2 linked regions of the Rhinolophus ferrumequinum genome follow. The protein of the gene in region 1 purifies or fractionates together with the protein of each later gene. This does not show direct contact. Links are inferred from orthologs where the notes say so. Each region holds a gene or a part of one and is shown in the gene's direction. Other genes may lie near its edges.

Region 1 (7,234 bases):
CCAAAGACTCTATTTTATTCCTTCTCCTCAGGCTCCCAGAATTTTTTCTTTGTTGCAGAGAGAGGCAAGTGGTTAAGACAGAGGTTTCGGGCTCAGGTTGGCCTGGATGAAAATTGGAACAAGTTATGTAATCTCTCTGATCCTCCACTTCTGTCTGCATCTGTAAAATAAGAATACTGTAATGATGATGGTTTGGGGCTGATTAAATAGGATAATGCATGTCTCAGCAGTGCTTGGCACATAAAAAGCACTTGATAAATCTTAGTGAATATTATTAGTGCAGAGGAGGAGAAAGAACCATGAAGTGTTTGCTTTTGTCAGTAACTCAGGAAACAATGGTTCACCATTGTTGATACAACCTGTTTGGGACTGAGGCTGAAGGGCTGGGAAGGGTGGGAGTATGGTAATGATTCTGCCTGGATTAGAGAAGGGAGCCCTGGACATAAAGTATTAAGTAGGCACCCAAGGAGTTTTCCTGAGGCCTCACTTGGAAAAACAGTTAAATGCCTCCTGAAGGCTAACCCGGGTTGTCTCCACAGAGGGAAAACCATTGGGTGGCAGTCGGGGCGGGAGAGACTTTTTTTTTTTTTTGACTTTTCAATATTTGAATTTGGAGCTATGTGAATGCATTCAACATGTTCCAAAAAATGAATTGTATTTTAAAAAACCTCTTTTACCAGTGGGGTAAGTGCTGAGAATGGGAAGACTAGAATCTAATGATAATAAAAATAATCCCCTTACAGTTTTTGCAGCCCTGGGAGAGCTTTGGTCATACAGGGCAGGACTTGCACCAGGACTGGGACTATTTATGCCTGACTCTGATCTCAAAGACCCAAGGTAAGTTTTCAATTTCAGTCATCCTCCCTGACACTCATTGAGTCCACAACCACCAGTCAGATTTGGGATTGTTCACCCCTTGGATTGTCTTTAAGCAAATGCATTGTTGAGGTTTGAATCTATTGGCTAAATAAGGTGTCTGTATGGATTGTCTGTGCATTTCCCAGGTTTTTAGGCCATAGATCATTTCTGATACTTAAATCACTTAAGAATCTGGAGACCTTATTTTCTAGAGTCCTTGGGAAGGGAGGGAGCATAAAATCCCACTCACAAATAATCAAGAACTTGCATAAGAACTGTTCTAAGGGCTTTATGTATATTAACTAATTTAAATCTCATACTACTACTAACTGTAGGTATCATTATTCTGATTTTACAGGCAAAGAAACAGAACCAAGTAAGATTAAGTAACTTGCCCAAGAGACTGCAGACTGACCGTTAGGCCATACTACCTCTCGGTTGGCAGCGGGCCAATCACGTAGTGGTCCTTTGACGGTTACACAAGCATCCTTAGCTGTGTAGCAGCAATACTTTGAGTCCCAAATCCCAAATCCTCCCTTCTCTACAGCTTCTGGTTTAGGAGCAGGAAAGACCGGGGTGTGAATTTCCTCATTGACCTCGGGCAATTTACTCACTCCCCCTTAGCTTCAGGTTCCTTATCTGTGCCGGGGAGGAGTTTTATAGATTAAAAGACCTCTCCTCGCAGTACCATGGGTGTGGGTGTGTGCTGGGGGGTGGGAGGTGGAGAGGTTTCTGGGCAGTGCGCTGCTTTTCTCAGGTCTCTTGAGTTAATAGGGTGTTTTGAGGGTCTGTCCTGGCCAATTCCCTACCAGGAGGTCAGGCCCCCAGGCAATGATCGCGCTTTTAGAGCTCGGCAATCACTCCTTCGCTTAGAAAAGGGCTGCCACTGGGGCCAGCTCCGACCACTGCCTGGAGGTCTAGGGTAGGTCTTTTTCCTTGAGGGAGTTAGAGATTATTGTATCCTCAGGAAGGCTTCTTAGAGGTAGTGACAGTTGAGTCCTGAAGGTTTAGCAGGAGTTAGTAAGAAGTGGACAGGGAAGGGTTAGCGTCCCTCACCCCACCCTCCAGCCCCAGAACAAAGAAGCACGACCCGCTTACGGTATAGGAGGAGGAGCTGTGAGGGTGAAGTGGTCCGTAGAGGCGAAATCACAAGGGGGCTTCAGAGCTTGGCTTTATTCTAAGAGAAATTGGGAGGGGTTTGGAAGAATGTAGTCAGGAGTTTTAGAGACTCCTCTAGCCGCTCTTGGGAAGAATGGATCAGGGATAGGAGGCTATCACAGAAAGCAGTCGGGTTGGAAGATGACCGACGACTGAGGAAGGGGGTGGGGGCGAGGACCGAGCATCCGAGCCTTTCTGTCTCCGCGACACTGGGCGCTATCCCTCGATTTTCTCTGCTTATGTGGAAGGGCCCCACAGGGGGCTGGGCGCCGGCCAAATTCTCATTGAGCAAAACAGCCCAGAGCTCGCTCCTCTTTCGGGGGCTCTGGCCCAGGTGCCCCCAAATTGGTAGGGTTATGCGAGAGAACTTACCACTGTTGAAGATGGAGAACCGTTACCCCTCAAAATACACAAAAACCTCGGCCGCTTTTGGCAGCAGACTCCTGGGTCCATGACCTCACGCTTTAAGCTCCCTTATAGCCTTCCCCCGCCCTGTCCACACCCATCGCCGAGTGGGGGTAGGGTGGGGGATAGTGGCGATGGCCTGGGGAGCGGGAGAACCTTATTTATCCTGCGTGAGATTTGAGGGAAGGGGCGCCACGATCTCCCCATTCTGCAAAAAGCATGGTTTAACTTTCCCTTGAGCAAAAAAGACTCGCCGCCGTGGATACCTCGAACCTGGCTCGAGGTGGTCTGCTGAGCTGAACCATCTTTGGTTCACGTTTCCTGGGACCAGGAAAGAAGCCTGGAAATGCTGGGGTCCTGGGCTGAACCGAGAGGCCGAGGCCGCAGAGCCTTCGCGGGACCTGGGGGCTGTCCCGGTCTCGCCCTCCTGGCGCCGCCGAGGTTTGAACCCTGAGCTCGCCTTTCAGCCCGCGCCCTGCCCCCTGCTCGCAGCTGCTCTCGGTTTGGGTGCAGCGGTTTCCCCCGCAGAGGAGGAGGAGACAGAGCGAGGAGCGACTCCCGGCTCGGGTTTCCGCACCAATGCCGAGCGGCCCGGGCGGCCCCCGGCGGCCGTCCCTCCTCCCCGGCACCACGTTCCACAGTCATGGCGCGCGAGGAGGGGCGAGCCCGCGTCGCGGCTGCACCCGCGCCCCCTCCCCTCCGCCGCCCGGCCCGGCCCCTCTCCTAGGCAACCTCCCTCCCCAGCCTACTGCGCCGCGGAGATGGAGACCCCCTCCCCAGAGAGCTGCGTTTCCAGCGCCGCCTGCAGCACCCGCTCCCCGCCCCCACCGGGGCGGAGGGATGGAGCCGCGCGCTTCACGAACCTCCAGCCCCTTCCCGGGAGCCCCGACTCCTCTCCCAGCCCCTCCGAGGCGGGGGTGCAGTGGGGGTAGACGCAGACCGTCTCCCCGCAGCCCATCTAGACCTTGGTATCTTTAGAGCCCTTTTAACAAAATAAGCCAAAAAGCCAAACCCCAGTCGTTAGATTGCAAAGCGCGTTACAATAACCGGGACGGCTACGCAGGAAGCAATCCTGCACTGGTCTGGGTTTAAGGCGGCAGCTTCCCGGCCACGCCGCCTTCTCCTGGGCCTCGATTTTCCGGCTACGCCGGAGAGTCTGCCACACCTCGGGGCTGACAGGTCCCGCGCCCGGCCGCAACTCGGTCCGCGTCCCCCGCCCCATCCTCGTCCAGAGTCTCTCCAGCCTACAAAAGGTGCAACCTCACGCACATGCAGAGCACACAAATAAGGTCGGCGGCGCATCGCCGGGAAGATTGCGAACAATGCGCCGGACGGCCCGCGCCTGCCCGAGCGCGGTGCCCCGGGGGACAGGGGGCGCGGGCGGGGGACGGGGCTGAGGACTCGCCGGCCGCGGCGCTGGACACCTTACTTCCTGCTTCCCCGCCCGCGGCCAGACCCAGCTCTGCGGAGGGATATCTCTCCCCTCCTCTGTCCCCCTCTCTCCCTTCTCCCGCCCTCCCCCCTTTTTTTGCTTCTGCTCCCCCCCCCCCCACTCCGCCTTTCTCCTTTTGCAAGAAAATAATTTGACAGTCGATTTGCTGACAGGGGAGGAATTTGCATCCTGGATTAAAAAAAAAAAAAAGGCCGAGAGGAGCTTGGGAACGGTTGCTAGGGGTGGGTAATGGGTGAAAAAAGGGGGGCGCCGGGGAGCGGATAAGGAGGGTTAAGGGAGGGGGCGAGGCTGGGGAGCAATGCAAAAGGTAAGGCCAGGTTACCGCGGCTCGGCCCCGAGTGGGCTGCGGCCGGGGGAGGGGCGAGAGATACATATGTATTTCTGTCTCCCTAGCACACCCCCTTCCCTCTAAGCGATGGCTGAGAGGCGGTGCATGCAGATGGGGAGTAAGTTTCCTGAAGGGGAGGGTGGATGCACGCGCGCGGCCCCGCGCTGCAAATTTTCACGGGGGAGGGAGAGTGGCTGGATGCGGAGAGTTTGGAGTTGCTTGCGGCGGAGGACAGGAAGGGGAGCAGGGCCGGGAAGGGGGCTGGCGGGCGTTATATCTGGGAGTAAGTTTCCAGGATCAGGAGAGCCTGCACGCTTGCTTGCTAGTAAGTTTCTGGCCGGGGAGGGCGCGTGGGGAGGAGGAGAGGGAGGGGTGCATGTATATAGAAGGGGGGAGGGGGGAGCAGATTTCCTGCGGGGAGGCTGAATGCATATGGAGAGTAGATTTCCTGAAGGGAGGGTGGAGGCGTAGACGGACCGAGTAAGTTTCTTGCTAGGGTGGTGGCGGAGGTGGTGGGTTGGTGCTTTGAAAACCCGGAGCTTCCTACCGGGGGTGGGGGAGCACGCGCTGTTGGAGGGGGGCCAGGGGCCAGGTTCCCTGCTGGGGAGAGGGGCTTACATCTGGGGAGTATGTTTCCTGGCGGAGCGATATTTGTTTACAGGCTGCGGGCAGTACTGTAAGTGAGTAGCGCTTCGAGAAGGCGGCTCTGACATAAATTAATATTGAAATTACTCCATCAGCTTTGCTCGCCCCCCATCGCACCCCCCGAGCGGAGATTGGTCTTGTCGGATTGCCCATGCACTTGTTGCAGAAACAGCCAAGGTAGGCAAGAAGCTTAAGTTTCATTTTTAAAAAAATTAGTTGGGGGATGCTCCGTGAGAAGACGGGGGTGGGGGAGGGGAAGGGATAAAGTGGGGGACAGAGAAGGGAAAGTCTCCCCCCATTTCTTTACTTTGAGTATGTTAGCAGGGCCTTCTCTCTGCTTCCCTTCTTCCCTCTCTGGGCTGCACGGCATCCCAGCAAAGGGGGAGGGGTGAGGTGGGCGCTATAATTGGCAGCCCCGGCCTAAAGGGTGGTGGTGGGGCTTGCAATTGAAGGTTGTGATGTTATAAAGCCTTCATTCTTCCAGCCAAGAAACCGCAGGACCCTAGGGATGTGCCTTTTGGGGTTTTTGACATGATGCATGTGTGTATGTATATGCGCCTGTGGGCTCTGTGGGGGCTGGGTACCCCCCAGAAGTTAAAGTGGCCACCTAGATGGGAGAAATGTGTGAGGGGTAAACCTGCCCCTCAACTCCCCAAACTTCAATTTGGGAGACTGGGAAGTTGCTGCTGCTGGTCTGAAGAAATAGATATTAGAAAACAACACAAAACCACCCATTCACTGGCGGAGGCCGAGAGCACCTGGCCGGCAACCTCTGGTCAGCCCTGGGCTGCATGTGCGCCTGCCATCCTTAGGTTAAAAGAAAATGACTTCTGGTTCCTCCGTGTGCCTTCGACTGGCCGGTTAGAGCCAGCTTTGTGGAAACTCTTCCCAGCTAGACGCGGCTTTGGTAAGTGAACGTGCTGAAGCCGGTTGCTGACAGCATGGCCTGGGTTGTCTTGTGAAGTGCATGGAAGTGATGCTTAGGAACGAGGGATCCAGGGATGGCTGAAGAGTTCTTTAAAAAATGCCTCCCGAAAGCCGGCTAGATGCACTTTTTAGCAGACCGTGGAGAAGAGCTTTCAGAAAGGAGTTTGTAGTTGTCCTAGTTGGTACCAACCTCCTGCATCATTAACTGTTTCAAGACAGCAGCCTGGTGAGGGAGGATGTGGTTTTGATGCCCACTGGAATTATAGCAAGCCAGAGTACTCAGCAGTTAACTAGTTAAACAGCAGTCTTTGCTTCTGCTTGCCTCTGTGTCCCTGGTTCTCAGCCTACTGGTTTCTGCAGATGGGTTGTAGTTCTGTCAGGTACCTGGATGATGCTGGGAGTTTGAGCTTGCCAGGGTAATGTTAGCAGCAAGAGGTACAAACCCAGGCATGTTTAGTAGGGTCAGGGTAAACTCTAGACAGTGCGGTTAACGAAAAGTTGGTTAAGCTTTCTGTTGTTCTGTAACCAGACTCAGTAATAGCAGGGGGGAAAAAAGCTCTCTACATGTTACTGATGGACAGACAGACTGTTTTCCTTTCTTTCCTGCCATCAGATTTCCAGACTGAGAATTTGATATTGGCAGCTTGACAGTTGAGTTTGTTGGAAATTAAATATTATTGCCATTTATCAAATGTTCCTAACTAAGCATTAGTTAAACAAATTAGCTATTATTTTTACCCTGCTGAAAATCGGAGTCTGGTTGGTGTGTGTGCTGGAAGGGTAAACATGATCTTTATGTGTGTTTATCCCAGGATCGTGGAATTATTGTCATGCCTACCCTCGAAGCCAAGAACAGCCCTTCAGTGGTTTTTCCTTATATTTATGAGATTTATTTTATTGTCTTGCTTTGGCCATTAATCAATTGACAGTAGCTTTTTTCCCGCCTCTTCTGCTGGGGATGTTCTTGTGGTAATAAAGGCCCATGAATCATAATTCATCCTTTTTTAAAATATTGCGGTGATTTTTCAGGATTTGATTTATAGGAATTGATACCGGGAGTGACACACCTCTTTGGGCCCCACCCTTTTAGGCATGTCCATTTTTGCTGAAGGATTGTTTAGAAGCCAGCTTGACATCTCAAAAAAGAGCATGTCCTTTCTGCTTTATAGGCACTGAGAAGATTAATTTTTACAGGTTCCATAGTAAACATGGGGCTTTTCACAGCTTTGTAATCAGGCTTTCACGTAGAGGCATGTGTTAATATCACATAGCGTTTCTGTGAACTTGCTGCGAAAACAGCAAGTTGTTGTGTGCGTGGAAAGTGCTCAGTTTTGCCCCCTTTAACCTGCTTGGGCCTGTGTTTTTATTGAGGTATGAGCATTAATTATTAGAGGGGACTATGGCTAATAGAATAAAAGGTGTGGTCACAAAACCGAAGCTTATTTATAATATTCTTTTCC
Region 2 (8,092 bases), on another chromosome or scaffold:
GACATAACGGAAGACCCCATTTGAGATAGCAAAGAAGGTAATTAAATAACCTAGGCATTAACTTATCAAGAAATACTTTAAAACTAGAAAACACCCTGAAATACACCAAATACACTTGAACAATGGGACGACATAAAGATTCAACATTACAAAAATGTCAATGCTCCCTAAGTTAATTTTTACATCGAACACCTCTTTAATAAAAGTAGTCTTCATATTTTGGAGGGAGAAGGGAATAGACAATATGATAATAAAATATATTTGGAAGCACAGCAAGCAAAAGTAGCCATGAAAATCCTGAAACACGAGAGAAATGAGAAGGGGCTAGTCACAGGAGACAAATCAGAATTTCTAATGCCTTTTGGGGGCCTCTCAAGGAAATGGGGCAGGAGGCAAGGACTAGAGCAGACAGCTCTGTCACTTCTACCTTCCAATTCTCTCAACCATGTCACCTTTTCTCTATCCCCACTGTCACCTCCCTATTCTAACGGACTCTGTCCTCACCTGGAGTCATTCTCTCTCTGCCTGTCTCTACTCCAACCACACCAGCTTTCTTTCAGTTCCTTAAGCGTGGCAAGTTCCTTCTCAGCTTGCTTCTCTCTTCCTGGAATGTGTATCACATCTTCACCTGGCTAACTTCAACTCCAGGTCACAGGTTAAATGTCACTATCTCACACAGGCCTTCCTTGACCACCCCATGTAAAGTGAGTCCCGCGTTATTCTATCTCTCAGCACCCTTTAATTTTCCTCCATGTCCTGGTTACGGTTTGAAATTATATATTTACTTGCATACTTATTTGTTAAGCCTCTTTCTCCCCCGTCCCCTAGTCTATGAGCCCCATGAAGGCAGGGACTGGATCTGCTTTGCTCACCACATTATACCCAGAACCCACCACTGGATCAATAAATATTTCTTAAAGGAATGATGCAGAAATGGAGAACTAGGTCATGAGGATCCTGCAAGAGGGAGAAGAAATCCCTTTCAAACACCTCTCTATCAGCATCAGAATAAAATCGAACCCGTTTCCAACAGGCGATGGCTATCCTGTGTGTGGACAGAGGAGACAGAGTCTCAGAAGCAAGTGAGTGGGGAAATGTGTGCAGTCCTGCATAGGTATCAACTGGAAACTACCCAACAGCTTTTAAATCTGCCCCAGAACAAGAGATGCCAAGATTTCCCTTCTGGCATCCTCCTTTGCCTGCCTCGAACACATACCACCACCCATCATGGCCTGGGTACCCTTTGTATATCTTTTCTTAGAAAAGGTCTAGAATAGAGGAGGCACTTATTGTTTTTCAGAGTACAGTACAACCAACCACAAAATGGTATGTGCATATTTGAGACAAATAAGGGGGCCAAGCCGACCGTGGGGCCCGGGCGGAGCTTCTTACCCAGCTTTGGTTTGGAGATTGGAACTACACAGCTCTTGTCACAGCCAAACGGGCAGCATTTCTTTACGCCTGGACATGTCTCATCAGTGACGCACCTTTTAAAACAGGATTGTTTCCGAACAACCTTGGGACAATCTCCCTTCCTCCCTGTAGCGAAACAGGAGACAGCCACAAAAAAAGAGATAATGGTGCCCAGTGACACCCACAGGCACAGCAGATGGGAAAATGGGAAAATCAGAGGAAGGAAGCCCCAACTTCATTTAGGACTCTCCGCCCTGGTGCTAAAGAGAGACAATGACGACCGCAAGGAAAACAGCTCACGTTTACTGTAACGCTTACTACGCTTACATTGTGCCAGGGAACCTCATTAGGTCCTTGCAACAATTCTATGAGGCACAAACAATTATCCCCGTTTTACAGATGAGGAAATTGACTGCTTAAAAACTTAACACTTAAAAAGAGCTATGTAAGGCTTATGTAAGGCTTAAGAAGGTCTGCCTGGCTCAAGGGTACTCCTTTCATCACTATCTTAAACAGGCTTCCCTTCATAACTCTGCCCTCCAGCCTTCCCAGGAACGCTGAGTTCAAAGTAAAAGACAGAGATAATCAGTCCTGTGCTTTTTCCTGACAAAAGGCAAAGACCTGGGGATACTGAGTGATTAAAGCAGAAGAGACCCCAAAAGCAGAAAGAAGAGGTGCTCTAGGCAAGCTAGATTTCTAGAGCCAATCTAGAATATAGGAAGCCCTCTGGGTCTTCCTTTAGAAAGCACACTTGGGTTTTGCCCCTCATGCCTACGTACCCTTAGGAATGTCTCCTTGGCAGACTCGACCACAGCCTGTGCAGCAGCACTTCTGTCCAGCTGGACACGATTCATCCCCCTGGCACAGATCTTTGCACGGGTTCTTATCAGGAGGGCATTCTCCTTCTTTCACTGCAAAGGATATCACACAAGGTTAGGATAACTGGCCAGGCCTCAAGAAATGGGGAATGGAAGCCAAATGTACTTCAAGGACTTTCAGCCTCTCCAAGCACTCCTATCTAAACACTTCCCCCTCCTATGCAAGCACACACACACACACACACACACACACACACACACACCTACTAAAGAACCAGCCATTCTGCAGATGGAAAGGTTGGGGTGATCCTATTCTTTCTTAAGGAACCCTAGGAGAAAGGCAGACTGGCAATACTATCTTCTTGGCCAGGGAAGGTAAAAAAAGCCAGGAAGACCCACCCTGGCTGTCCCAAGACTCTGCATCCAGTCCCATCCTGCAGAGATGGCCATCTCCACGAATGAGGCCCCTCACTGTGGGGAGGCAGGGAATGACTTCTCTAGTCACGCCCTGTTCCTGTTAGCCAGGGATCCCAAATGATAGCTCACCATGCTCTCCTGCAGTCACCCAGGGTGTCAGGGACCCAAGAGCAAGAAGTGCATTCAGGAGGAAGAGGCAGCTCATGATGATCATGCTGAGTGCCGAGAGGAGAGCTCGGTCCAGGCCGGGGGTGTGCCCCTTGCCCGGAGTATCAACCGAGGGAAGGCAGGACCGGGAGACCAGCTTCCGCCCAGCCCCGAAGTCTTCCCTTTCGCAACAGTCCCCAAGGATGGCTGCTCCTGACAAGAAGAAAAATGATTGGTTGCTGGTGTGTGGGAAGATTCCTGGCACTACCAAAGGGCACATGTGATGATGGTGATCAAACTCTGTCATGCAATATATGCAACACCCGTGGACACTGATGAAGACCCTGGGAAAATACAGGGATGGCCATTGAACAAAGGATCAAAGAGAGAGTGAAAGGGCCTTGGAAGGACACGACTACCGCTGCAATGACAGAGGGAAGGACCAGAGAGTTAACAAGAAAATAACCACAGCTAATAAGATGTACTGTGACTTCTCCTATCACCCTAGCAAACTAGAAAACAGAGAATGGGACAGACTACTTAGAAACTATCAAAAGGCTACAGAAAAGCCATATTTGAGTTAAATGTTCAGAACTAATACAAATGCACAAAAAACCCTGTATCTTGGTCTCTCTGGTCCACATAGACCACTCTTGGACCATGTGAAGGCTAGTTGACAGAACCCCAAAGAACAATTGTTATGACTTTTGTAGTGTAAACCATGTATGTATATTCCTTTTATCTCCTCTTGCTCTATTTCTTTTTATTTTTCTCTAACTGCTTATGACTTTAGTCAATCATGATATCGAATAGTGTTCACTGCACCGCTTAGCCCAGTGATGTTAAAGGGCAGGGAATATTCAAGGCTCAAGGTAAAAACCTTCTCAATAGCGCCAAAGAGTTCTGTGCCAGGAAGTCGCCTTACTGTTTTAAGACAGATATTGGAGCATGGAGATGATTAACTTTTGTTGATGACCTAATATGTGCTTTGCATACATTATTTATTTTAATCCTCACAATAATCGTGCAGAGGTAAGAAAAGTGGTTCAGAGGGGCTGAGAAAAATTGCCCAAGGTCATAAGTGGTGGCAAGTGGTGGCTGCTGGAATCTAATAACAGTAACAACAGATAGCATTGTTTGAGGGTTTACTTGTGCCATAGTTCTAAGTGCTTTACATGAATTATCCCCATTCTACAGATAGGGAGATTGAGGCACCGAAAGAAACGTTAGTCACAACTAGTAAGTGGTAGAACAAAGGTAGGCAGTCCAATTCCATAGTTCTTAATCATCACATCACACTGAATTTGAACTCAGATCTTTCTAACTGCAAAACTCATGCACTTTCTACTACCCTATATTGTGACCTGGGAAAAGTAATTTTCTCTACCACCGATATATCGCTCAAATTTTATTCAGGGTCGTCTTACCTAAAGGAGAGCTAAGGGGAGCCCCGGGAAACTTCACAGCTGTTAAACCCTTGCTACCCCGGCCCATCCTAGAATCACCACCAGTCTGGGTAGAGAAGCCCAGCTCCCTGGGGCTCGGGGAATCCATGGTCCAAGTCTTCATTCTGATGTCTTCAGATGCAAGAGGCAGCCCCTAGGGTCCAGGCTTGGAGAGACCTGGTGGGTGAGTGCTAGGAGTAGCATGGGCCAAACCTCCTCCTGCTATCGGGTTTCCGGGACCCCGCATTAAGCCCACTCCAGTTCCGGAGGCTAAATACGCAGCACATTAAAATCTACCGTTTTCAAAGACTGAACTGCAGGCGCCGCTGTACAAAAAACGCTCCCCTCCGCTCTCCAACCCCAGACCATTGAAACCTGCTCCCCTTCGTCTGCCTGGCACTTCTCCAGCCCGAGAACAATCCTTGAATGATCATCCCCAGTCCACACCTGCGACGCGGCCCCTCCCTGGAGGAAGCCCCGACCACCCACACACACACATAAGGCCTCTAAGCATCAGGGTGTTTGGCAACACGCGGCCGTTTGGTTGCCATGGTAACCGCGCAGCTCGCCTCGTCGTGCTTCCGGGTCCGCGGCCGACGCGCTCCAGTGACGTCACACAGCCACTTTCCGGCCGGTGGCAGAGTCGGGCTGAAGTTGTAAGGGTCAGGGACGCCATGGGGGCCACTGGCGACGCCGAGCAGCCGCGGGGACCTGGCGGGGCAGAGCGGGGCGGCCCCGAGCGGGGAGACGCGGGCGCAGCGGGTCAGCTGGTTCTCACGGTGAGGGCGCCCCTGGAGAGGCCGGGCCGGGCCTGGGCTCGGGCCGGCTGGGCCTCGGGCTCCCAGGACCCCGGCCCGCGGACGAGAGAACGCGGCAGCCGGCGCTGCCGAGAGGGTTGGCGTTTTCACAATCCGAAGACCTGGATTCAAATTCTAGGTGCCGCCCTCCTAGTTAGGTGACGTGGGCCAGTCCTGTCAAGTTCCTGAACCCCAGTTCTTATGCTGTAAAACAGAGATTAGTACCTGCCTCATAAGGTTGTTGGGATGGGTTATAAATGCAGGTAAAGCGCCCAGCGCATCATCTGTCCCAGAGTAGGCCCTCGGTGAACACTGGTTCCCTTCTTCTAGCCGTTCCTGAAAAGGTGGAGTCGGGATTTTTGAGGCAGGAAACTTTCCCTGAGTTTCTCTTCCCCTGCAGGGGCTTCCAACCACGGCCCTTCCCCAGACCCCAAGGTGGGAGAGGTGGTGAAAGCACCTGAGAAGCAGGGCTGTCTAGGTTTAACTGCATACCCACCGTCCACCTCCACCCCAGTGTCACAGACCTCGGTGACATCTGCTCCCTTGGTCCCCACAGAACCCTTGGAACATAATGATAAAGCACCGGCAGGTGCAGCGAAGGGGCCGCCGCTCACAGATGACAACAAGGTAAGCCTGACCCTGGGTGGGACTTACCTCCCAGGCACTGGCTGGAAAGGCAGCTTGGGGGATCCCCGTTGCACGGGGCTGAGAAGAAATCATCAGCCAATAGAAAGAGCACTGGACTAGGAAAGAGGAGACTCAGATTCTGTAACTCTGTGTGACCTTGAGCAAGTCACTTCCCCCTCTGAACTCATGTACCAAATGAGGGGGGATAGGTGAATTAAACAACCCCTAAGATCCTAACACTTGTGACTGTGTTCGAGGGCTCTAAAAAGACAGGGTAGCATGGAAGTTAAGAAAAAAGTGTGGCCAGTAGTATCCACAGGGTACTATTATCCTGTGGTAATAGGGTCATAATGAATAATAAATAATAAAATAATAATCATCATCAAATAATAAAAAGGAAAGGAGAGCACGAGATGGGCCTTTGAGATGCTGATTATATTTCTTGAACTGAGTAGTGATTAAATGGATATTCACGAAAACAATTTGTAATAGAATTTTCTGTATAAGTGTTATACTTCACAAAACATGTTAAAAATAGTACCCATTTCACAGAGTTAGGAGAATGAAATAAAGTCATTCATCTCTGCTTTACACAACCTGGGCACATAGCTAGTTATCTAAAAATAAAAAGCTGTATATTATTGTCATTAAAGGCTGGGCAGACTAGGAAAGGACATATTTGGGCCATGTCGCCTGACTGTCTCCCTCCTGAATGCAGTTTCACAGATCCTGCCATCTCCATGGATCTCCTCCGAGCTGTCCTGCAGCCTAGCATCAATGAGGAGATCCAGACTGTCTTCAACAAGTACATGAAGGTGAGAGGGACACAAAGAGAAAACATTAACAGGGAAAAAGATTCATGGGCCATCCTTGACTGCATCGCAATCTCCCTGGCTTACTCGAGTACACACAGATTTCTAAAGTTTTCCAATTCTCAACCCCCAAGAACTTATTTCCCTCTGTGGGGGTAATTTGAATACCTCTTTTGCGAAGCCATTGTGAGGATGAAATGCTCAGATCTGCGCTTGGAAAATAACAAATGTTTTTATTACCTATTTAGTAATGTCACCATTGTTATTACTTAAAATTATTTTCTAGCACTATAAACTTCTACGTGGTTCTACCTCAATGCTCCATGGATACTTCAAACCCAGAATATTCTGAACTGAACTCTTCATTTTTCTTCCTAAACCTCCTCCTCTTGTGTTTGTTCATTCATTCAAGAAGTATCTACTGAGCGCCTCCCATAATGGCAGGCACTCTTCTAGGCCGTGGGACGTAACAGTGAACAAACGGACAATGTCTTTGTCCTCTTTAAACAAACATGTACTTTGTTAGGGAATGCCAGAGAGAAGGGGAAGAGAGTGCCCAGTGGGGAGCAAGGGGAGTGATTTTGATAGATTGTGGCTGGCACAGCCCTCTGAGAAGAGGACATTTGAGCAGAGACCTGAATAAAGTGAAGAAAAGAAGCTGTGCAGATATTTATTTGGGGCAAGAGCAGTCCCGGAAGAGGAACAAGGGCAAAGGCCCTGAGGCAGGAGTGTCCTTGGCACATTCAAAGCAACCAGGTAGCCAGTGTGGCTGGAGTGGACTGGGCCAGAGGAGAGTAGGGGGAGAGGTGATCAGAGACAGAACGAGCCTGGCTCGTGCAGAACCTTTGAAGCCACGGGAAGGACTTCAGGTTTTATTACGAGTAAAATAGCAGCTCTTGGAGAGTTTTGAGCAGAGTACATGATCTGAACCTTCTTAAAGAGTCACTCTGACCGTTGTATAGAGAATAGACTATAGGAGGACCAGTTAGGAGGCTTGAGATGACAGTGGCTTGGGTGTTAGCGGTGAAGATGTTGGGAGTCAGATTCTGTACTTTAAAGGTAGCAACAGGAGTTGCCGATAATTGGGATGTGCAAGGTGAAAGAAAAAGAAGTAAATGGCTCCCAACTCATTTGCCCTGGGCAGCTAAGAAATAGAGTTGCCGTTGACTTGCCATGAGGAAGAGGGGAAATCAGTTTTGGATGTGTTACGTTCGAATGGGACCACCATCCACTGAGAAACCAGAAACTAAGTGCGCTGCCCTGTCCTTCCTCTTCTTACCCGTTTGTGGAGTCCTGTAGTTTCCACCACATGATGGTCAGGCGGCCCGTCTTCCTTGCTTGGCTCGGTTCAGTATTTCATTTCTCACCTAGGCTCCTACTATAATCCCTGACTGCCTGTCTTCTTTCCTTCTCTCAACCTGCCTTCCATACAGCTGCCAGTGATCCCTAAAACGCAAATCTAATGGTGTCATTCCACTGTTTAAAATACCGCAATGACTTTCCATTGTCTTCTGAGTAAAATCCAAATTCCTTAACACGGCATATATGGCTCACTGTGATCAGACCCTAGCCACATACCTCTTTATACCCTGTTCTTACTATCCCTAATTCTCTCA

The links. The genes of interacting proteins can lie anywhere in the genome.
Region 2: the proteins of TRERF1 (region 1) and DNTTIP1 purify together in Homo sapiens (affinity purification with mass spectrometry; 3 studies listed by BioGRID and IntAct, with this or other methods). This does not show direct contact. The link is inferred for Rhinolophus ferrumequinum from reciprocal best matches to the Homo sapiens genes TRERF1 and DNTTIP1.

Annotation. Positions count from the first base shown.
Region 1 is NC_046286.1:12,048,467-12,055,700, reverse strand, and holds the start of TRERF1 (transcriptional-regulating factor 1), read left to right. Parts: upstream 1-3,988; 5' UTR 3,989-4,095; exon of another isoform or gene 4,096-4,527; intron 4,528-4,885; exon of another isoform or gene 4,886-4,942; 5' UTR 4,943-5,024; intron 5,025-7,234.
Region 2 is NC_046306.1:12,335,066-12,343,157, reverse strand, and holds the start of DNTTIP1 (deoxynucleotidyltransferase terminal-interacting protein 1), read left to right. Parts: upstream 1-4,844; 5' UTR 4,845-4,914; coding exon 4,915-5,019; intron 5,020-5,593; coding exon 5,594-5,664; intron 5,665-6,382; coding exon 6,383-6,479; intron 6,480-8,092. Other genes in the region: WFDC3 (WAP four-disulfide core domain protein 3), read right to left, coding at 1,393-1,539, 2,193-2,324, 2,778-3,008, 4,223-4,364. UniProt on the Homo sapiens protein: Increases DNTT terminal deoxynucleotidyltransferase activity (in vitro). Also acts as a transcriptional regulator, binding to the consensus sequence 5'-GNTGCATG-3' following an AT-tract.